Linked DNA regions of Ovis aries. The protein of the gene in region 1 interacts with the protein of each later gene in a biochemical or structural test. Links are inferred from orthologs where the notes say so. Each region holds a gene or a part of one and is shown on either strand. Other genes may lie near its edges.

Region 1 (11,477 bases):
TCTTAATGGCAAAGAATCAGCCTTAATTAAAGGACATCCAGAGTGGGAGATCATGCACAGACAAAATTCCTGCAACAATGGTTACAAGTAAACTGCTTATTTAAAAAAAAAGAAAGATGAGGCAAGCTGAACACAGACCAAACTCAAAGGAAAAAAAAATGTAAAGAGATTAACTTTCCCAAAGCTTATGCACTTTATAAATTAGAAGTGATGGGACAAAACTGAATATAGTCAGATAAAATAGTTAACATGGGAGAGAAAAATAGCAGAACCCTCTAAAGTACCAAAGCCAAACACTAAAGCACAGGATTCTGGGAACAATTACACAGAAGTCAACAACCATAAAACTTCACATTCACAGAAAAACACAGTAACCGATTTTCCCATTTATTCAAGTATTTGAGTGTCTGCTATGTGAAAATAGTTCTAGCAATGCAAAGATGAATCATCAGACTTGGATTCTGGAAGGGGAGATGTAACATTGTTATAAAGAATTAAAATCAAATAGGAAAGGTAAAGCGTCCTAAGAAAGGTAAACAAGCGCTAAGTGAGTTCAGATTAAGAAGCTATTCATGTTGGGGGAGATCAGAAAAGGACTTCTAACATTTGAGCTGGACACTGCAAACTAAAATTTACACTGGGAATGATTAAAAGGGGTATTTCTGGGCAATGAGCAAAGGCAGAGGTTGGGAACCAGAAGGCATACATATATACTGGTTTGATCAAAAAGTTCATTTGCATTTCTCTGTCACATCATTCAAAAACTCAAATGAATTTTTTGACCAACCCGAAAGATTATATAGCAAATGTCAGTCTGACTAGAGTACAGATTTTATGTGCGTGTGTGTGTGTGTTCAGTCACTCAGTTGTGTCCGACTCTTTGAAGACTCCACTGACCCACCAGGCTCCTCTGTCCACAGAATTTTCCAGCAAGAGACTATAGAGTGCGTATTTGTGTGAGTGTGTCGGGGGGCAGTTGGCCTTTGGACAGATGTCTGCCACCCTACCTCCCCAGACACCAGCATCTGTAGCAAACTTTCCTTTCAAAAAAAAAAACAAAACACCAAACTCTAGTGGGTTGCCACTTCCTTCTCCAGGCGATCTTCCCAACCCAGGGACTGAACCCTCATCTCTTGCATCTCCTGCATTGGCAGGCAGTTTCTTTGCCACTGTGCCACCTGTAATTTCATATGAGACTACAAAAGCTGGGAAAGTATAAAAGAAGTCAGATTATAACTCTGAATGCTAAGATAGGTCTTTAGTGATGAGTCATGAAGAATCATTAAGGATTAAGAGGCAAGGGAATCTGATCTGGACAGAATCTACTGAATAACAATGGATGAAATGAATGGGGAGAAGAGCAGACATTAAACATCAAATTGTGAGAGGTCATGAAGACCTCAGTTGCAGTGGTGATGGTCTAAGAGGGAGAAGGCAGAGTTCTAGGTCTATAATGTGTAAGCTGCCATTCTCCTCTACTGAGAAACTTTTAAAATCTGAACACATCATTCTCACTTTTAAGAAAATTGTGATCTGGAAAAATAATAAATGTTAAAGCATCAAGAACTAATTAATAAGGTAATATATGATTTCCAGATAAATATTACACGGAAAAAGTACTGTACTGGAAGAAATCAAGAGAGGGAAAAATGAAAGTGGAAGCTTTATTAAAGAGGTTGTAGTTGATCTGCACCTCAATGAAAAGGTAGAACTTTAAGAGGGGAGGGATAAAATCTCACAAACAATTCGATTAGTAAGAGTAAGATATGTTAAATAATTTGTTTATTAAGAGTAAGATATGTGAGATACATTGAGGTAGTTTTCAGCAAAATGGTAAACAAAATACTAGTACATTAAAAATAACACACAAAAAAACCCTCAAAACCTCAATTACCTGAACTTCATAAAGATATCAAAAAAACAAGGTATTATTTATTACAGGTTCGAAAGCTTAAAAATAAGTATTTTCTTAGTCTAGATTTTTAAACGAGAGAGAGTAAAGGAGAGACCACGCCTTAAAAAAACAACTTTCAGTCAGTTTGAAATATCCAAAATGTTATGTTTGTTATTTGTGAAAGAAGCTCCTCAAGACGTAACATAATCTGATAAACCCTCTTCATAGTCTACATATAAGTAACAACCAGGATATGTACTCAGACCCATCTGACTCCAAAACCAGAGCTACAACTGCACTCAGTGCTGTATTATAATTTTTCTTCTGATTTCAAAATCTCATATGTATTAATCACAAAGTGCAGGACAGAAGAGATCAGTAAATCTCAAACTACTGAACATACAACTGATGCAAAACTGAGAGATACCATTTTGTGCAAATATATACCTATTCAGATAAAAATACTGTAAAGAGCTTTTTTGCAGAGGAATGGGGGTCTTTGAGTGACTAGTGGTTTTTCAATTAGTTCACTTACACCTTCCAAGGCTGGGCTATCTTACCTGGCCCTTTCCTCAGCCTTTCATGACTTATCTTCCTTCTAACAACCCTTCTAAGACTGTCCTTGATGGGTAGATTTCCTTTGTATTCTTTTTAAAAATTCCTTCCTTAAAGAGTAGATGGTATGTCAAATTTCTTGTTTTTAATCTTCTAATTCAAGAACAGCTCTAACCTCTTATCTCAGATTTCTTTAAGGACAAGAATTCACATTCTTTCTCATAAACATTTTGTTAAGATTACAAAGGGTTGAAAAAAATTACACTATTTTATCAATGATTATTTTAAACCAGTTACTATATTTAGTATTATTGGGATTAGATTTTTAGGATTGATTTCTTAAAAATGACCCACAATAAAGGAAAAAGGCACTAGGAATATGCATAATTTTTATAAGACATTCAATTGCATTTGCCTCAAAATAAATATATTAATTCATTTAAAGGAAATCCAGTCTTCAACCAGTAACTGAGTGCCTGTTATGTCCCGGCACTATTCTAGGCACTTGGGAAACCACAATTTTTTTTAACACTCCCTTTTCTTCATGGAGTTTACCACCAGCAGGAGAAACAGATAATAATAAATAATGTTAGAAAATGATAAATGCTATGGGAAAATAACAGAACAAGGTAAGCTTAGCAGAGAGCTAAGGTAAATGCAATTTTAAATAGGGTGGTCAGAGAGGATTTAAGAAGGTGACACAATTTGAGTAAAAACTTGAAAGGAAAGGAGTCAGCCATGATGATACCTGGGGGAAAAGTACTCAAGGCACAGAATCAACAAGGGCAAAAGTTCTGGTGTATCCTAGAACAAAGAGGCCAGAGAGGTTAAAGAGAAGCCAGCACGGGTAGAGTAGCAGCAAGGATAAAGAGAGCTACGTATGCGGGCAGAGAGTACAGATCATGTAGGGTTTATGGGACACTAAGGAATCTGGATTTTACTTTGAATGAAATGAGGATTCACAGAAAGTTTGGTAGAGTGTCATGATCTATTTTACCAGAAACAATCTGGATGACAGATTAAATATAGATTAAAGGGAGAGCAAGGGTGAAAGGAGTGAGACCAGTGAGGAGGCTACAAAAGAAACCCAGGAGAGAAATATGTATTTTCCATAAACTTGACCACAGTTTATTTATGCTTACTTTCAAGCATAAATAGATAAAACAAATCTCAGATCCTGCTAATAGGAAATAATTGGATCTTATTGAAGTTTATTATAGAGCTCTTGGCATATATATGTACACACATCTTTTAACTACTCACTGCAGAATACCAAATGCGTTCCTTTACAATCAGTTATTCTCTGAATTTTTAAAACATCCTTTTGTAGCTGAAACTATTCTTTAAAGAAATAAGCCAGTATTTCTATAGCTGTCAATTATATACTATTTTTGAAGAAAAAATAAGTTACTTCTGTTCATTAAAAGTATAAATTATTTATCTTGGATTGGTGTTTCTCAGACAATCTGAATTTTACATTCCTAACACATATTTTACATTCCTAAAACATTTCAGTTCCTTCAGGTAAGACAAATTTTTACAAAAGTTTCTCTTTTTATACTTTTATCTTTGAAGAAATTACTTTCTTCAAATTGATACCAAAGTTGCCTATCAGTATCTGGGTTGTTCATTTCAGGAAAAGGAAACCACGAAAAACTCCCATTGTCACAAACATTTCAAAAAGACCTTTCTACCTGATACCAAAAAAACCCTCTCTTTATTATCTTATCCTCCTGGAAAAGGCAAATATTGAATACAATCTCCATAAATTCTAAAGAAGTTATTCTTAACAATGTATAAGATATACATGTATTTAAGAGAAAGAGTACAATAAGTTGAAGGTATTTTACTTGCTTATAAGAGGACTAAGGAATATAGGAGATTCTGAAATAAAAACTCGTACCTCTAAAAAATTTTTTTCATGAAATGGAAATAAGCACATTGTCCTATAAACATTTATGAAGGAAATCAAGAGTGAAATTTGAAGGAAAGTAAGAGTGAAACAATTTACTTGCTTCAAAGACTCAGGAAAGCACTTAGATTTGGTTTGGATTTTTAAAGAGACTTCTCCTGTGACAATTCTTTGGAAGAAATGGGTGTGTAAACTTACATAACAATACTCCATTTAAATTCATTAATTCACTCAACATTTAAGTGTTCATGAGCCAGAAACTGCACTAAGCACTGGCGGGTAGTCCCTGTTCTCAAGGGCTTAGAGTTTTCCCTTATTCCAGTTACTGAGCAACTACTATGAAGCCAGATGTTGAGGATACAACAAACAGGAAACAGAGTTCCTACCTGCATTCAGCTTATACTGGAGAAGGAGGGAAATGCCTCAAGAATGAGACACACATCTAACTTAACAAGGACAACATATAAGTGTTATATGCGTTGCTTTTGAAAGTGCAGACACTTCCTTCAGGGGAGACACAAAGAAGGGAGTGATTGATTCAGGGCGAAAGGGAGGGGAATTTAGGAACTTCAGATACAGCTCAGCTGAGTCCTCAAAGAGGATTACACGCTCACCTGCTGACCTTGGGGGAAGGGTTCCAGAGAGAGCAATTGGAACTAAGGCAGAGAGGTGTGAATAAGCTGTTGTGTTTGACAGGCCTGGAATATGAATGTGAGGGATAAATCATGGAGTCTTCTGTAAGCCACATGAAAAGACTGGACTTTACCAGCATATATGAAAGGCCCCTGATGGGTTTTATTCAGAAAACCAGCATTTGTGATCAGGTTTTTCTGGTGTGGTGAGACACTGATTAACATAGGAATGAGAAAAGAATAACACTAGATAATGATGTCACCACATGAAACAACAAAGGAGACTGCCCAGTTAGAAAATTAAACCCCAATCAGGAAAAAAAATTAAGCCACTTAACTATCCAAGTCCTTCTGGTAAAGTTTTTAATCAACATCTTGAAATAGTAGAGGAAAGGTTTATATATATATTATGGATTATAACATCTACCTATCTATTTTGAGTTTTCTAAAGAGGGCTTCAGCTCTTTACAAATCGTGTAAAGACATCTGGAGCTGCTGACTGCTGCACAAAAAGCAGTGAAGTCATTTAGAAGACAAGTCTTTGATACACACGGAGAAACCATGAGTAACAGAAGGTATTTCTCAAGTAAGGTTTAAAGGTTTCCAAAGTTCAAGATAATCAAGTTCTCTAAATCAGCGCGTTTAAAAGGTGTGTCACAGGGGTGGAGCAAAAAGAGGAGGGGTTCAGAATTAATACTGTTGTTGCTGTTCAGTCGCTAAGCTGACTCCTACAATTAGTATAAACACACACACACACATAAATATGTATACATATATATGTAAAGAAGCAACTCCATGTTGCTGGAACCAAAATCACTACTTGAAAATCTCCCAAGCACAGGAAGAAATGAACGCCTACTAAATTCAATGAATACAGACAGACGAGAGGGAGGAGAGGAGGATCACACTTTAAAGTATAAATGGGATGTATGTGTGGTGGGGTGGGGTAGTGGGGGGAGGTTAACCACTTATCCAGAACCCATAATCCAGCCGGTGATGAGGAAATCACCTTCGAACCTCACAATGCACATATAAAGGCATGAAAATATCACTTCCGAACTCCACAATCTAGCCACCAGTCACTGGCCAAGGGGATATAGTCACACACTCGAATCCCAGAACTCAAGGACAGAAGTATCCCCACACTGCTCGAAGGGAGGTGAAGGATTCCCCCTACACTGACGATGGGATCAATCACACTTAAACCCAGCCCTAAGGGGGTCCAGTGCCTCTCAGGCCGGGTGTTGCCGAGGCCAGGGACAGTGACAGACAGCCCCGAAGCCCCCACAATCTCCGCCAGAGCCGCCTCTACTCCTCGCACCCCCCTTCCCCAACACACACCCTCCCCTACCTGATATGGCGGCGGCGGCTCCTGATCCGGCTCCGTCCCCTCGCCAAAGCTGGCCCGGTCGGACTGAGACTCGTGAAGCAGGGAGATGTCATCCGAAGTGGGGGACTTGAGGCAGTTCCCCATCTTCTGGAGCTGGGGTGTGTGATCTGGGGGAGGAAGAAAGCAGTGGCGGGGTCGTTCGCACGCTCCGCGGTCAGCCTCGGTCAGCGAGGTGGGGTCGGGCGGCAGGCCGGGGTTCAGGCGGCAGCGGCTCCCCCGGCCCCCGGCGCCGCCGAAGGGCAGCTCATGCCAGTCCCTGGGGCTGGGGGCTTAAGGCTGGGCCGCGGGTTTCCCGGGGTCGCGGCGGTTGCCTCCTGAGGCGGCGGCAGTGGGGGGGGGGGGCGGGGAGACGAAGCACTTCCCCACCCCGCCCCCCCGCGGGGCGGCGGCGGCCACGGAGCTGCTGGGCCTAATCCAGGTCAGGAGTGGGGGGGCGCAGCCGTCGCGGCTCCCTCAGCTGCTGCCTCAGCTGCTACTGCTGGCCCCGCCGACGCCGGAGCCGCAGCCGCGGGCCTCATCCTACTCCGCTTCGCAGCGGCGGCGGCGGCCAGAACGAGGCCAGCTGCGGCCCTGCGTCACGCCGCCGTGCGTGCCCTGGTCCCGCCCCCGGCGCTGGGAGGCGTGGGTAGCTCCGGCTGTGCTCCCTGCTCCTTTGCCACCCCCCTGCCCCTCCCCCGTCCCCAGCAGCTGTTTCTGGGGCTGCGTCAGTTTCTGCTTCTCTGACAGCCTGGGACGCGATTCCGATACCTCTTTTGGGTCTTCGGTTCCTCCCCACGCGCTCTGCTCCCTCTTCGCTTGTCTCAGCTCTTAACTGTGCGTTGTTTTGACAGTCTTCTGGCCACCTTCTGCCAAGTAATCCATTTTAAAACCCATATCTGAATGGATTACTCCCATGACTAAAATATTAAAATATTCTATCCCTTCAGAATAAAGTCCAAACTCACTACCTCCCCAGTCACTTTGCAATCCTCCTACATCACAGTCAGAAGAATTCTTCAACCGATTATTCTATTTATTTCTATTCTTACCACCATAGTACAAGCTACCGTCATTTCTCTGCTGTAATACTTTGAACTATTTCCCCTGCGTTCGCCATTGCCCCCATTCAATTTACTATTTGTACAGTTATCTTTTTAAAATGTAAATCTGATCAGGTCATTCCTGTAGGAGGAATTTAAGCCTTTTAAAACATTCATTAAAAACTTCCCAATACTGTTATGACTGAAGTATTAATTCTTAAATGGTTTACAAATCTGGCTACCTCCCCAGTCTCATTTGTGGCCTTGTTCCCTCACATATTCTAATCTTTAGGATGTCTGAATAGTTTTCAGTTATCTAGAAGACTATTCCCTCTGGCTGAGGTCTTTACCTATGATGTTTCTCTGACATAAACTCACTTCTCCCCACTCCTGAGCTTATACCTTCCATCAAACTATATCCACACTTGTCCTTCTTGGACTCAACTTTGATTCCACTGGGAAGCCTGTCCTCTAACCCTCCTGTCTGGGTTAGTTACCTCCTCTGTGCTCATAGTCCCTGAGCACTCAGTTCCTGAGTCCCTGTGAGTCTCTATCACAGCCAGATCAAGCTGAATCTGCCCCTCCTCTGTACAAAGACCTGGCACATTGCCTGAGGCAGAATAGCCTTTCTTCTTAACCGAAATAACAAAGAGTTCAAGAGGCAATGTATGTAGAGGGAGGAAATAAGAAAGATGAGAATGCTCTAATATTCATTCAACGAGGGGAAAAGAGGGTCTTGACTGTCTTTTTTTCATTCTTCATTTACTTTTTTTTTTTTTTTCCCCACTAGACTCTATATTAGGCACTAAGGAAATCTGGCTTATTCTTGATGGAGCCCAGAATCCACCTAGGAAGATATGTAAACAGTGAGGTCTCCTGCCACCCCCAGGACAGGTTTCTAGAGGGCACTGCTGCTGCTGCTGCTGCTAAGTCGCGTCAGTTTTGTCCGACTCTGTGCGACCCCATAGACGGCAGCCCTCCAGGCTCCTTTGTCCCTGGGATTTTCCAGGCAAGAGTACTGGAGTAGGGTGCCATTGCCTTCTCCTCTAGAGGGCACAGTAGGGAGTACTTAGAGCATTGGGTGAGGATCAGAAAGGATTCTTGGAAGTAGAACTGTGTTAAAATGACATGTCCTAAATGCTGTAACTTTGAAGTCCTTGTTCTGCAAAATCACATATTTTATTTGAATACACTCATATCACACATTAAATGTAACCATTGTGCTATTTTCCCTCTTTTCCAAGACTTACCTTTCTTCCTGTTAATGGCTCCCACCTGAATAGGTGTATCTGTAATGCCATGTTTGTTATCAGAATCTTTCACACATCCCCAAGAATCATTGCTTAATGCTGTGGCTTGGACAAATAAAATTATTGGATCATTTGGAAGGAAATTTTCAGGTATTTTCTTCTTTTCTCTTATTGCTATTTCCCTGGTCCCCTCTGAACTGTTGTGACAACTTCTTAATGAAGCCCTTGCTTCTGCACCATCTATACATTCTCCACACTACTGTCATGAAGAATGTGATCAGAGAGCGTTCATAGACTTGTGGTTCAGAAATTTAGCATGACATTAAGGCCTTGAACCATTTGGTCCCATCCTGATCTCCACTATGACTTTTTAAATTTTAAATTTATTTTTTAATTGAAGGATAATTGCTTTATAGAATTGTGTTGGTTTCTGCCAAACATCAACATGAATCAGCCATAGGTATACATAAGTCACCTCCCTCTTGAAACTTCCTCCCACCTCCTTCCCCATCCCGCCTATATGACTCTTGACTCCAACCAGGCATCCTATACTCCAGCCACATCATAATACTTACCATGCCCTCAATTTTCACTATGCTTTTCCATTTCTGATCCCTTGCCATGCTGTTCCCTTTTGTTGAAATCCAACTATCTTTTAAGATCGTCCTTAGATGCTACTTTCTTCATATAGCTGCCCTTGATTTCATTTAGTTGAAATATATGTAAAAATATAAAATAAATGGGATCCATTACTATATTATATTCTATGTATCTATTTATGTGTATAGTTTAACATAATTTCTATGTATATACACAGATGTGTGTATATCTGAATATATATGTAAGAATGAATGAAACCATAACTTCCATTTATTAGCCTGAGTCTTGAAAGGTTGATGTTAACATTCCTGTTTTACAGGAATAGAAATATGGCTTCACATGGCTACCCAGGGGGTAAAGCCAGTATTTAAATTATATACCAGTTGCCTCTATTAGGTTGGGAGAGGGAACTACGTCATTTTTCGTTCTGATAGTCTTTTCTCAGTGTATAAAAACAAGAGAATGGGAGAAGACTTATCTTCAATGCCTTTAGCATCCATGTGTACTTTTGTAACGAAGTAGCTATTCAATGATCTTTCTTCCTAATCTAGTTTTAGGAGGGAACATTTGGGAAGTGTCCTGTATACCAGAAAGGGTGATCTAATTACAAAACAATTTTAAATAAAAAAATAACCAACACTATTGAAGTGACAAAGACTCTTCTAGACCCAGCTCTAGTCAGGCTCCTCTAAGCCCTCAAGGCTCTAACTTTGGGCTTTGTGCTTGACCTATTTATTTCAGTTTAGCAAGAATATAGTTGAATTAGCTTAGCCAGAGTCCCTCTCCCTTTGTATCTGACCACCTTGGCCTGCCTTTAGCAGAAATCCTATCAATGTTTTTAGCCAGAATTTTCTTTTATCCCTGATGTTTCCTCTTTGTAATTTTCCATCCACTGTCCCCCACCCTGTTCCTTGCCCATAAATTCCCACTTGTCCTTTTTATATAATATAGAGTGAAGTCTAATTCTATACTGAGTCTCTTGTCTCCTATTGCAACAGGTACTGAATAAAATATGCCTTCATTGCTTTGTCTGATTCTTGTTTTCTCTGACCAGGATATCTAACGCAGAAACAGAGATGAAAATCTAGTATCTTCTGTTGAGCCAGATTTTTTTTTTTAATAACACTTTAGACCAGTTTTAGGTTCACATCAAAAAACTGAGCAGAAGGTACAGAGATTTACCATATACCCCTACCCCCATACATGCATAGCCTCCCCCATTATCAACACCCTGCACCAGACCAGCTTATTTGTTTATTTTTGGTTGCATTGAGTCTTCATTGCTGTGAGTATGCTTTCTCTACTTGTGGCAAGTGGGGTCTTTCTAGTTGTGGTGCACGGGCTTCTCCTTGCAGTGGCTTCTGTTGTTACACAGCACAAGCTCTAGGTGCATGAGCTGAGTAGCTGTGGACCATGGGCTTAGTTACTCTGCAGCATGTGAATCTTCCCAGACCAGGGATTGAATCCATGTTCCCTGCATTGGTGGGCAGATTCTTAACCACTGGACCACCAGGGAAGTCCCAAACATTTGTTAAACTGGTAAGCTATCACACAAAATGCTTGTTTATGTTAGGGTTCACTCATGGTGGTGTACATTCTATGGGTTTAGACCAATATATAATTATGTGCACGTACCATTATAATGTCATACAGAATAGTTTCGCTGCCCTAAAACTCTTCTGCACTCAGCCTATTCATTCCTCCTTTGGCAACCACTGATGTCTTAGCAGTCTCCATGGTTTGATTTTTTTCAAAATGTCATATATTTAGTATCTTACAGCATGTAGTCTTTTCACACTTCTTTCACTTAAGTGAAAACTAAGATTCCTCTGTTTCTATTCATGCCTTGATGATTTCTTTTTATCACTGAATAATATTCCACTCTCTAGCTATCTCACAGTTTATTTATTCATTTATCCACTGAAGGACATTTTAGTCGCTTCCAAGTTTTGGCAATTTTGGATAAATCTACTATAAACATCTGTGTATAGGGATCTTTTTCCCAACTATTTTTATTGTAGTAAAATACACAACATAAAATTTACCACCTTAACCATTTTAAGTGTAAAGTTCAATGTTAAATATGTTCATAATATTTTGCAACCATCACCAGCATCCATCTCCAGAACACTTTTCATCTTGTAAAACCAAGTGAAAGTGAGTGAAGTCGCTCAGTTGTGTCTGACTCTTTGCGACCCCATGGACACCAGGCTCCTCCGTCCATG
Region 2 (11,477 bases), about 910 kb from region 1:
AAGGCAAAATGGTTGTCTGAGGAGGCCTTACAAATAGCTGAGAAAAGAAGAGATGAGAAAGGCAAAGGAGAAAAGGAAAGATACACCCACCTGAATGTAGAGTTCCAACGAATAGCAAGGAGAGATAAGAAAGCCTTCCTAAGTAAACAATGCAAAGAAATAAACGAAAACAATAGTATAGGAAAGACTAGAGATTTCTTTAAGAAAATTAGAGATACCAAGGGGACATTTCATGCAAAGATGGGCACAATAAAGGAGAGAAACAGTATGGACCTATCAGAAGCAGAAGATGTTAAGAAGAGGTGACAAGAATACACAGAAGAACTATACAAAAAAGATCTTAATGACCTGGATAACCATGATGGTGTGATCACTCACCTAGAGCCAGACATCTTGGAGAGTGAAGTCAAGTGGGCCTTAGGAAGCATCACTATGAACAAAGCTAGTGGAGGTGATGGAATTCCAACTGAGCTATGTCAAATCCTAAAAGATGATGCTGTGAAAGTGCTGCACTCAATATGCCAGCAAATCTAGAAAACTCAGCAGTAGCCACAGGACCGGAAAAGGTCAGTGCTCATTCCAATCCCAAAGAAAGGCAATGCCAAAGAATGTTCAAACTACCACAAAATTGTACTCATCTCACATGTTAGCAAAGTAATGCTCAAAATTCTCCAAGCTAGGCTTCAACAGTACGTGAACTGAGAACTTCCAGATGGTCAAGCTGGATTTAGAAAAGGCAGAGGAACCAGAGATCAAATTGTCAACATCAGCTGGATCATAGAAACAGCAAGAGAGTTCCAGAAAAACATCTACTTCTGCTTCATTGACTATGTTGAAGCCTTTGTGTGGATCACAACAAACTGTGGAAAATTCTTAAACAGATGGGAATACCAGACTACCTTACTTGTCTCCTGAGAAACCTGTATGCAGGTCAAGAAGCAACAGTTAGAACCACACTAGGAACGACGGCTGGTTCAAAATCAGGATAGGAGTACATCAAGGCTGTATACTGTCACCCTGCTTATTTAACTTATATGCAGAGTGAAACTGAAACTGAAGTCGCTCAGTCGTGTCTGACTCTCTGCAACCCCATGTACTGTAGCCTACCACGCTCCTCCATCCATGGGATGGATACTGGAGTGGGTTGCCATTTCCTTCTCCAGAGGATCTTCCCAACCCAAGGATCGAACCCGGGTCTCCTGCATTGTAGGCAGACGCTTTACCGTCTGAGCCACCAAGGAAGCCTCTTATATGCAGAGTACATCATGCAAAATTCTGGGCTGGATAAAGCATGAGCTGGAATCAAGATTGCCAGGAGAAATATCAATAACCTCAGATATGCACATGACACCACCCTTATGGCAGAAAGCAAAGAGGAACTAAAGAGTCTCTCGGTGAAGGTGAAAGAGGAGAGTGAAAAAGCTGGCTTAAAACTCAGTACTGAAAAAACTAAGATCATGGCATTAAGTCCCATCACTTCACGGCAAATAGATGGGGAAACAATGGGAACAGTGACAGATTTTATTTTCTTGGGCTCCAAAATCACTGCAAATGGTGACTGCAGCCATGAAATTAAAAGACGCTTGCTCCTTGGAAGAAAAGCAATGACAAACCTAGACAGCATATTAAAATGCAGAGGCATTACTTTGCCAACAAAGGTCCATATAGTCAAACCTACAGTTTTTCCAGTAGTCTTGTATGGATGTGAGAATTGGATCATAAAGAAGGCTGAGTGCCAAAGAATCCATGCTCTTGAACTATAGTGTCGAGAAGACTATTGAGAGTCCCTTAGACTGCAAGGAGATCAAACCAGTCAATCCTAAAGGAAATCAACCCTGAATACCTACTGGAAGGACTGATGCTGAAGCTGAAGCTCCAATACTTTGGCCACCTGATGCCAAGAGCCAACTCAGAAAAGACCCTGATGCTGTGAAAGACTGAAGGGTAGGAGGAGAAGGGGACGACTGAGGATGAGATGGCTGGATGGCACCACCAACTCAAAGGACATGAGTTTGAGCAAGATCCAGGAGACAGGGAAGGACAGGGAAGCCTGGCATGCTGTTAGTCCATGAAGTCGCAAAGTCGGACACAACTGAGCCACTGAACAACAACAAAAAGATTATATGCTGAAATTTTGTATATTCACAATAAATACAGCATATAATTTCTCCTACTAGATGCTATACAATTATTAATCATCCCAGGCTTCATTGATATTTATGATGACCTTCAATTTACCAATGTTAATAGCTTTTTGATCTTTACTCTCTTGATTTTGTAGCATTTCCATCAAGACTCCTTAGAAGAACTACTGAAAATTTTGCACTTCAACATTGAGTACACTCAAAATAGAGTAGGAGAACACTCTTGGGCTAAGAGCTTTTGCAACAAGGTATATGGTATATGGTAAAGTTCAGTGGCCGGTAGTGGACAGCACCATCTGTCAGGCTAGAGTTCAGTGACTAAAAATGTATGTGAGCAACATGCATATGGAAAATTTAAGGATATACTGAAATAGTGTTTTATATATCCTTGAATGTTATTTTATTTAACAAAAATTTTCATAAAATAGTTAATAAATTACATTCCATGTACCTATTTATTTGGGAGGGAAGAACAACAGTAATATTATTTATTGTCCACTTACTATGTACCAGACATTATTACAAGTGATTTAGAGGTATTAAACCCTTAATCCTCTTATGAACACTAAATACTAAGGTATAGAATTAAGTCCCTCAGAATGTACACATACCACAGGAAGGTAGAGAATTTGTCTTAATCCTCCTTGTTTTATCATTGGCATCCAAAATAGTGTCTGGCATACAGAAAGCACTCAAATATTTGTTGGACGAATAATGAGGAAATGGAGGCAAAAAAAGCTAAATAACTTGCACAAAGTCATACACAGTAACAAAGCCAGGATTTGAACCCAGGCATCCTGGTTTCATAACTCAGAGTCTTAGCCACTAGTTATGTATACATTTGGAAACAACATTCCTCTTTCACTTGTTTTTTGGCATTTAGAAGTATTTGAAGTATAAAAATGCTCTCATGAGCTATAAGTTGTCCTTATTCTTTTTGCTAATAAAAGAAACTCTAGTTTAACAACATCTAAATACTAGATCATAGTATGTCTGAATTACTTAATGCTCCCAATACAGGTGATAGTAATGAGAGCAGAGCAAGGAAAAAGAGATATACATCAATGGGTAACTATAATGGACTTTTAAAATATACACATGCCTACTGTTATATTCACACAAAGGTTATTTAATGTAGCATTAGAATCAATCAGCACTATACAAAGCAGTGTAAAATGGGGCATGTGTATACACCTGGGTTTGCCACAGTCTTAAAACAGCTGAACAGCACTCCATTACATGTATTACAATTTAACTCTCATCCCTTTCAACATACATCTAGATTGTCTTCATATTTTTATAACTATATACAATATAATGAATATCTTTGTACACATACATTTACACCTCAATATGCAATAAATCCCTACAAGTGGAATTTTAGACAAAAGTATTACACAGACTGAATTTTAATAAATGTTGCCAAAATTTCCAAACATGCTGTGCTTATTTCTATTTCTGTGTAAAATTCTTTCTATAAGTTCATCATTATTATTACCCATCTTTACCAATTTCACAGTAGAAGCAATGGAACCTGATATCTCACTTAGTATTTTTTATTAATTTTTTATTTCTGGCTGCACTGGGTCTTTTTTGCTACCTGTGGGCTTTCTCTAGTGTGCGAGTATAGGGTTCTTGCTGTGATGGCTTTTCTTGTTGCAGAGCACAGGCTCTAGGGATGTGGGTTTCAGCAGCTGCAGCTTACAGGCTCAGTTGCCCTGTGGCATGTGGAATCCTCCCAGACCAGAGAAAGCAGACTCTCAACAACTGGACTACCAGGGACATCCTTCTAACTTGTATTTTTAATTATGAGTAAAAGCTGAACATCTATTTATCTATCATATGCTTATTGGCTTTTTTGTCTACATATAGGCATATATATATATAGGTTGGGTTAGTCACTCAGTCATGTCCGACTTTTCGCAACCCCAGAGGCCTGGCGGGCTCCTCTATCCACGGGATTCTCCAGGCAAGAATATAGGAGTGGGTAGGCATTTCCTCCTCCAGATCTTCCTGACCCAAGGACCTAACCTGGGTCTCCCACATTACTGGTAGATTCCTTACCATCTGAGCCACCAGGGAAGCCTACACACACACACACACAGACACACACAGACACACAGACACACACACACACACAGACACACACACACACACACACACACACATATATATATTAAGCCACCAGGCTCCTCCATCCTTGGGATTTTCCAGGCAAGAGTACTGGAGTGGGTTGCCATTGCCTTCTCCAATATATACACACAGACACACACACAATGTTTGGAGTTGTTTTTATTTAAATTTATCTTTAATTGGAGGATAACTGCTTTACAATATTGCATTGGTTTCTGCTATATAGCAATACAAATCAGCCATAAGTATACATATGTCCTCTCCTTCTTGAACCTCCATTACACCTCCTACCCCATCTCACCCCTAGAGGTTGTCACAGAGCACCAGATTTGAGCTTCCTATGTCACACAGCAAATTTCTACAGGCTTTCTAGTTTTACACATGGTAATGTATATATTTCAATGCTATTGTGTCAGTTCATCCCCCCTCTTCTTCCCTCACTGTGTCTACAAGTCTGTTCTCTGTCTGCATCTCCAATATTGCCCTGCAGACAGGTTCATCAGTTCCATATTTCTAGATGCATTAATATATGATATTTGGTTTTTTTATAACTAACTTCACTCTGTATAATAGGCTCTTGTTCATCCACTTTATTAGGATCTCTATTCCAGTTTAATGCTTATTCTTTTTTTTCTACTTGGAAGTCATCCATTTTTTTGTAATCAAATTCATCAGTTTCCTTTATGGTTTTTACATTTCACATCATGCTTAGAAAAGCCTTTCTCATTCCAATATTATAAAAATGTTAACATATGTTTTCCCTGCTATTTTCATGGCTATTTTTGTTTCACTCTTTCATTGTCTAGAATCTATTTTGGCAGTAAAAGTTCTGTAACTTGCTTTTCTCATTCCAAAATAAATCCTATATAACTTTCCACATCATACTTCATTTATTTATCTATGCATATAGAATTTTTAAATATTCCTATATCATAGCTTATTTAAATGTTTAATAATTATATAGAGCTATACATTAGTGAACAAGGCTGAGTGCCGAAGAATTGATGCTTTTGAACTGTGGTGTTGGAGAAGACTCTTGAGAGCCCCATGGACTGCAAGGAGATCCAACCAGTCCATTCTGAAGGAGATCAGCCCTGGGATTTCTTTGCAAGGAATGATGCTAAAGCTGAGGCTCCAGTACTTTGGCCACCTCATGCGAAGAGTTGACTCATTGGAAAAGACTCTGATGCTGGGAGGGATTTGGGGCAGGAGGAGAAGGGGACGACAGAGGATGAGATGGCTGGATGGCATCACCGACTCGATGGACGTGAGTCTTAGTGAACTCCGGGAGTTGGTGATGGACAGGGAGGCCTGGCGTGCTGCGATTCACGGGGTCGCAAGGAGTCGGACACGACTGAGCGACTGAACTGAACTGATACATTAGTTATGTTAGTAGTTATTTACAGTACTGATGAGCATTTACATTTTCTATTTTTCAACAAGTACCAAGAATGCTGCCATGTAAGTGCCTCCTTACACACATGTTTTTTTTAAGATACATATTAAGAAATAGGATTATTGAGTTATTAGTATGTGTCTTCTTCGCTATTCATAAACTACCCTAAAAATGATATGCCTAATACATTTTCATTTTAAGAATTCATTCAACAAATAGTTAAGACCTTTTTTAGGCTGAGCATACAGCATAATGGTAACCAATTCAGACAAAGGCACCACTTTGGTGATTAAGAATTCAGGCTCTAGAAAGAGGGAGGGCTCAAATGTATATTTATGGCTGATTCACACTGTTGTACAGCAGAAGCCAATACAACATTGTAAAACAATTATCCTCCAATTAAAATAAATTTTAAAAAAAAAAGAGTACAGGCTCTAGATATAGGTTGCCTGAATTCAAATTTGGGCTTAGTAAGTACTGAATGTCTGACCTTGGACAAGTTTCTCTATCCTTGTGCCTCAAGTACCTTAACAATAAAACAATAATAATAATAGTACCCACCTCACTAGGATTATTGTAAAGACTGTTGTGCCTGCCACAGAGAAAGTATTCAATAAAGTTGTCTTGTAATTATTACTTAAATTTGCTCTAACCAACTTTCTTGCCAATGAGAGAGGTGAAAATATCATTTTACTATTTAATCACCATTTCTCTGATTATCGATAAGACTGACATACATTTTATCTTTTTTACTTTCTATTCTGTGATCTGTTCAGATCTCTTATCCGTTTCTTCTATCAGGATGTTTTGCACTCTTCTTAATGTGACACTAGATGAGATGCAAATATTTCATAGCATGATGCCTAAGCTCTGACCCACAACTGTGGGGTTCTATTTGTGGCCAAGTTACAAGAATAGCAGTGCTGACTACTGTCCTGCTAAGAGAATTTCATGTTCTGCTCTCTAAAAAGATTTCTGAGTGCTTAGATTCAGGGGAAGAAGGTAAGGAATACTCTTCAGGCAATGGAAAGTAAAAGCTAAAGGCAAAGGGATGGTTTCTATCTTATCTACTCTTGTTTCCTTAACATGTGGTACAGGGCCTGACACATAATGGACTCTGGATAAACACATATTGTTTGAATGAATGCAAAATCTCCTTACTAGGTTACAAGCTCCTTGTGGGCAAGGATGGCATCATACCTATGTTGGTATCACTCCCACAATACCTAACAGTGTTTTTACACAGAGGAAGTACTCAATTGTTTTTACTGAAGAGACTGCTATCTCTGAACCTGTGTGATAGCAGCTGAGGTAATCAATGAAAAACAAACAATCCCTTCCTCATATAAAGATTAGACTCTGATTTGCAGCTGTAGAAGCTCTGTATGGAGCTGTTGTTTAGGACTCTGGTGTTGTTTAGGTCACTTCTTGAATTCACCATCTGTTTCAAGTCTTTGTTCTAGGAAAAAAAAAATGTCCCTGGCAGTTACTATGCTGTGAGCCCACGTAGGTGCTGCTGAGACCACGTCCGTGCAATGTGTCTCAAGCTTTAGTTTCCCTCCAAATTATTCCTTCTCAATGCGTTATTTAGAAATAAGTCCAGACCAGCGCACTAGACACAGTCGTTTGGGTCTCCTGATTCCTCGTCCCACATGCCCTGCCTGACAGAGCTCTCTGCTTTGCTAAATGCTGTGAGGCTGATTATTTTCCGGAATATCACTCTTGGTGATCTAGGCTTGTAGTCTCATGTGAAACAGTGAGACAATGGCATAATGGAAGAAGTGCAGGATCCCTGGAGCCAGACGATCTGGGTCTGCATATTAACTCAGCCATTTACTACATCACCTAAATATCCCTAAGTCTCAGTTTCCTTAAGTTTTCAAATGGGAATAACAGCAATACTATATCTAACCCACCTGGGTCACAAGACTGCAATAAGAGTTATAAAATTAGATTAAAATGCAGAAATATTTTATAAAGTATTCTACAATTCTATGTCACTACTATATGAAATAGGACTCAAAGACTACACTAAAAGAATCCCACCAGACAATTCATAAGAGCAAGGATCATTCATGTCTGACTGGGTCATAGCTGCATCTCCACAGCCTGGCATATTTGTTGAAGGAAAGACTAAGAGAATAGAAAATGAAAAGAGCACCTACCAGTGACCTTCATCAAGTTAATAAAGCTCTGGGTTTCAATTTGCTCATTTGATACCACTTATGTCAAAAGATGTAACATCAAGGATACTTTTCTATTTCCTTCTTCCTCCAAAGCCAGATATACTTTAGGACCTGGTTGTATAAAAAGTAGATACTCTTAGTAGTTTAATAATAATGGGTACTGACTCAAATTATTCTAGAGATAGTCAGGAACATTACACTATCATCTGCCCTCTATTCTCACTAAAAATTAATACTGGCTAATCAGACAGAGAAAGATAAATATCACATGAAATCACATATATGGAATCAAAAAATGATACAAGTTAATTTATTTATAAAACAGAAATAGACTCACAGACATAGAAAACAAACTTATGGTTACCAAAAGGGTAAGGAGCAGGAAGGATAAATTAGAAGCTTGAGATTAACAGATATACACTGCAATATATAAAACAGATAAAAAGAACCTACTATATACAACAGAGAAATAAATTTACTATCTTATAATAACCCATAATGGAGAGAATCTGAAAAACAAATATATATATATATACACATACACACACATTTTGAAACTGCATCACTATGCCGTATACCTAGAACTAACCTTAACACTATAAATCAGCTATACTTAAATAAAAAGTTTAGGAAAAAAAAATCAGTACTGGCAAAGTCATTATTAAATACTTTATCTCTGCCATGTTTAAACTGCTTCAGTTCACTCAGACTCACATATACATAAACCCTTAAAATGAACCACTGCCGTAGTAAAGTTAAGTCTTCTCAGACACAAGTGCATCTTTATGTAACCTAGACAAAATAACCTCTGGTGCTCAGCCATGTCCGATTCTGTGACCCTATGGACTGTAGTCCACCAGGCTCCTCCGCCCATGGAATCTTCCAGGCAAGAATACTGGAGTGGGTTGCCATTTCCTTCTCCAAGGGATCTTCCCAACCCAGGGATCAAACCCGTCTCTTGTGTCCCCTACACTGGCAGGCGTAATTTTTACCACTGCACCACCTGGGAAACCAAGACAAAATAACTTACTACTAGTCAAAACCATTTAAGCATCAAAGCCACATCAAAACAAATTCCATTTATTGGTCACAGTACATAAAATGGGAATAATGTTTACTGAGTTACCAAAAGTGTCCACATACATAGCATCCAATTCACATTATGCAGCAGAATTAAAGCTAGGGCACCTCACAACAGAGCGCCAAAATACATGAAGCATAAACTGACAGAACTGAAGTAAGAAACAGACAATTCAATAATAAGAGTTGTATGTTTCACTACCCCACTTTCAATTGTGGAGTAGGGAGAAGATTAGTAAAGAAAAAGAAAACATGAACGCTGTATGCCAATTAGACCTAAAGACCTCTACAAACACTCCATCCAACAACAGCAGGATATACATTCTTCCCAAGTGCACATGATTAGGAGAGACCAGGTTAAGCCATAAAACAAGCCTCAATACATTAAGAAGGAATGAAATCATACAAAGTATGCTTTCTGACCACAATGGAATGAAAGTAGAATTTCCTTTGAAATTCAAAACTATATGAAAACTAAGCAACACACTAAACAAACATGTCAAATTATAAATCACAAGGAATATTACAAAATACTTTCAGGTGAAATGAAAATACTTTAAGAAACCAAATACAACATACCAAAAGTTATGGGATACACTGAAAGCAATGCTTAGAGGAAATTTTATACTATTTTAAACATCTACTTTTTTTTAAAAAAAGTAAAATTACAAATAGTAACTTTCTACCTTTAGAAACTAAAAATAAAACAAGGAGGGGGGCAGGAGGCAAACTAAACCCAAAGCAAGCAGAAGGAAGGAAATAATAAAGATTATGAAACAGAGCATGACCCTGTGGGGCCCTCCAGGATACAAATCTTTTCTGTGTCTCCCATCTCTTGTTTGCAGGAAAGAGGTTTCATTCAGCCTCCCTGGTCTTCCCTGAGTTCCAAAGGGCAGATTCAAACAGTTGCTTATCGGGAAGGAAGGGCAGAAGGAAAAGGAGCAGTCAGGAAGCGATAGTACAGCCGTGGCGCAGTCCTGGTTCCTCCTCAAGGAACATATATATAACAATGCCTTCGAGTTCTTCTGTAGGAACTAAAGCCCCCACACAGGTGGAGGGTGGCAACTTCACACTAAACACAAGACTCCTGGAACACCACTCTGTTACCTCATCACCAACCAATCAGAGGTAAGTCTGTACACGGTAGAAGATAATAAAGGCTCTGACCCCCTCCCCAAATGATTCTCCCTTTAAAATCTTTAATGGCTGAGCAGGATCTTCAGAGTTGGTTTTAGAGTTCGCCTTCTCCCCCGGCTGTCAACCTCCTGAATAAAGCAATCACACATTTTCAAACCAATACTTGCCTCTCTCTACTGATTTGTTGCCAGTGTAGCAACCGTAGGAGTTACAAAACTGGAACTCCAGTCTGGCAGTCCAGGCAAACAAAGGGAAGACGGGATGCCTGGGGCTTCCCAGGGGCTCATTCTATTGGTGAATTCAAAACATAACGTAAGAAACTAAAGGCAAAGGAGAAAAGGAAAAACATACCCATTTGAATGCAGAGTTCCCAAGAACAGCAAGGAGAGATGAGAAAGCCTTCCTCCATGATCAGTGCAAAGAAATAGAGGAAAATAATTGAATGGGAAAGACTAGAGATCTCTTCAAGAAAATCAGAGATAGCAAGGGAACATTTCATGCAAAGATGGGCACAATAAAGGGCAGAAATAGTATGGACCTAAACAGAAGCAGAAGATATTAAGAAAAGGTGGCAAGAATACACAGAAGAACTATACAAAAAAGATCTTTATGACCCAGATAGCCACGACGGTGTGATCACTCACCTAGAGCCAGACATCCTGGAATGTGAAGTCAAGTGGGCCTTTGGAAGCATCACTACAAAGCTAGTGGAGGTGATGGAACTCCAGTTGAACTATTTCAAATCCTAAAAGATGATGCTATGAAAGTGCTACAATCAAAATGACAGCAAATTTGCAAGACTCAGCAGTGGCCACAGGATTGGAAAAGGTCAGTTTTCATTCCAATCCCAAAGAAAGGCAACGCCAAAGAATGCTCAAACTACCCCACAATTGTACTCATCTCATGCACTAGCAAAGTAATGCTCAAAATTCTCCAAGCCAGGCTTCAACAGTACGTGAACCATGAACTTCCAGATATTCAAGCTGGGTTTAGAAAAGGTAGAGGAAACAGAGATCAAATTGCCAATATCCACTGGATCACTGAAACAGCAAGAGAGTTCCAGAAAAACATCTACTTCTGCTTTACTAACTACACCAAAGCCTCTGACTCTGTGGATCACAACAAACTATGGAAAATTCTTAAAGAGATGGGACTACCAGACCACCTTACCTGCCTCCTGAGAAATCTGTATGCAGGTCAAGAAGCAACAGTTAGAACTGGACATGGAACAAAAGACTGCTTCAAAATCGGGAAAGGAGTACATCAAAGCTGTATATTGTCACCCTGCTTATTAAACTTATATGCAGAGTAAACATGAGAAATGCTGGACTGGATGAAGCACAAGTTGGAATAAAGTTTGTTGGGAGAAATAGCAATAACCTCAGAAATGCAGATAACACC

The links.
Region 2: the proteins of RNF11 (region 1) and ZFYVE9 form a complex in vitro, tested with the Homo sapiens proteins (2 studies listed by BioGRID). The link is inferred for Ovis aries from reciprocal best matches to the Homo sapiens genes RNF11 and ZFYVE9.

What each region holds. Positions count from the first base shown.
Region 1 is NC_056054.1:25,681,185-25,692,661, reverse strand, and holds the start of RNF11 (RING finger protein 11), read right to left. Parts: upstream 6,956-11,477; 5' UTR 6,468-6,955; coding exon 6,345-6,467; intron 1-6,344. UniProt on the Homo sapiens protein: Essential component of a ubiquitin-editing protein complex, comprising also TNFAIP3, ITCH and TAX1BP1, that ensures the transient nature of inflammatory signaling pathways. Promotes the association of TNFAIP3 to RIPK1 after TNF stimulation.
Region 2 is NC_056054.1:26,593,037-26,604,513, reverse strand, and holds the start of ZFYVE9 (zinc finger FYVE domain-containing protein 9), read right to left. Parts: upstream 7,950-11,477; 5' UTR 7,839-7,949; intron 1-7,838. UniProt on the Homo sapiens protein: Early endosomal protein that functions to recruit SMAD2/SMAD3 to intracellular membranes and to the TGF-beta receptor.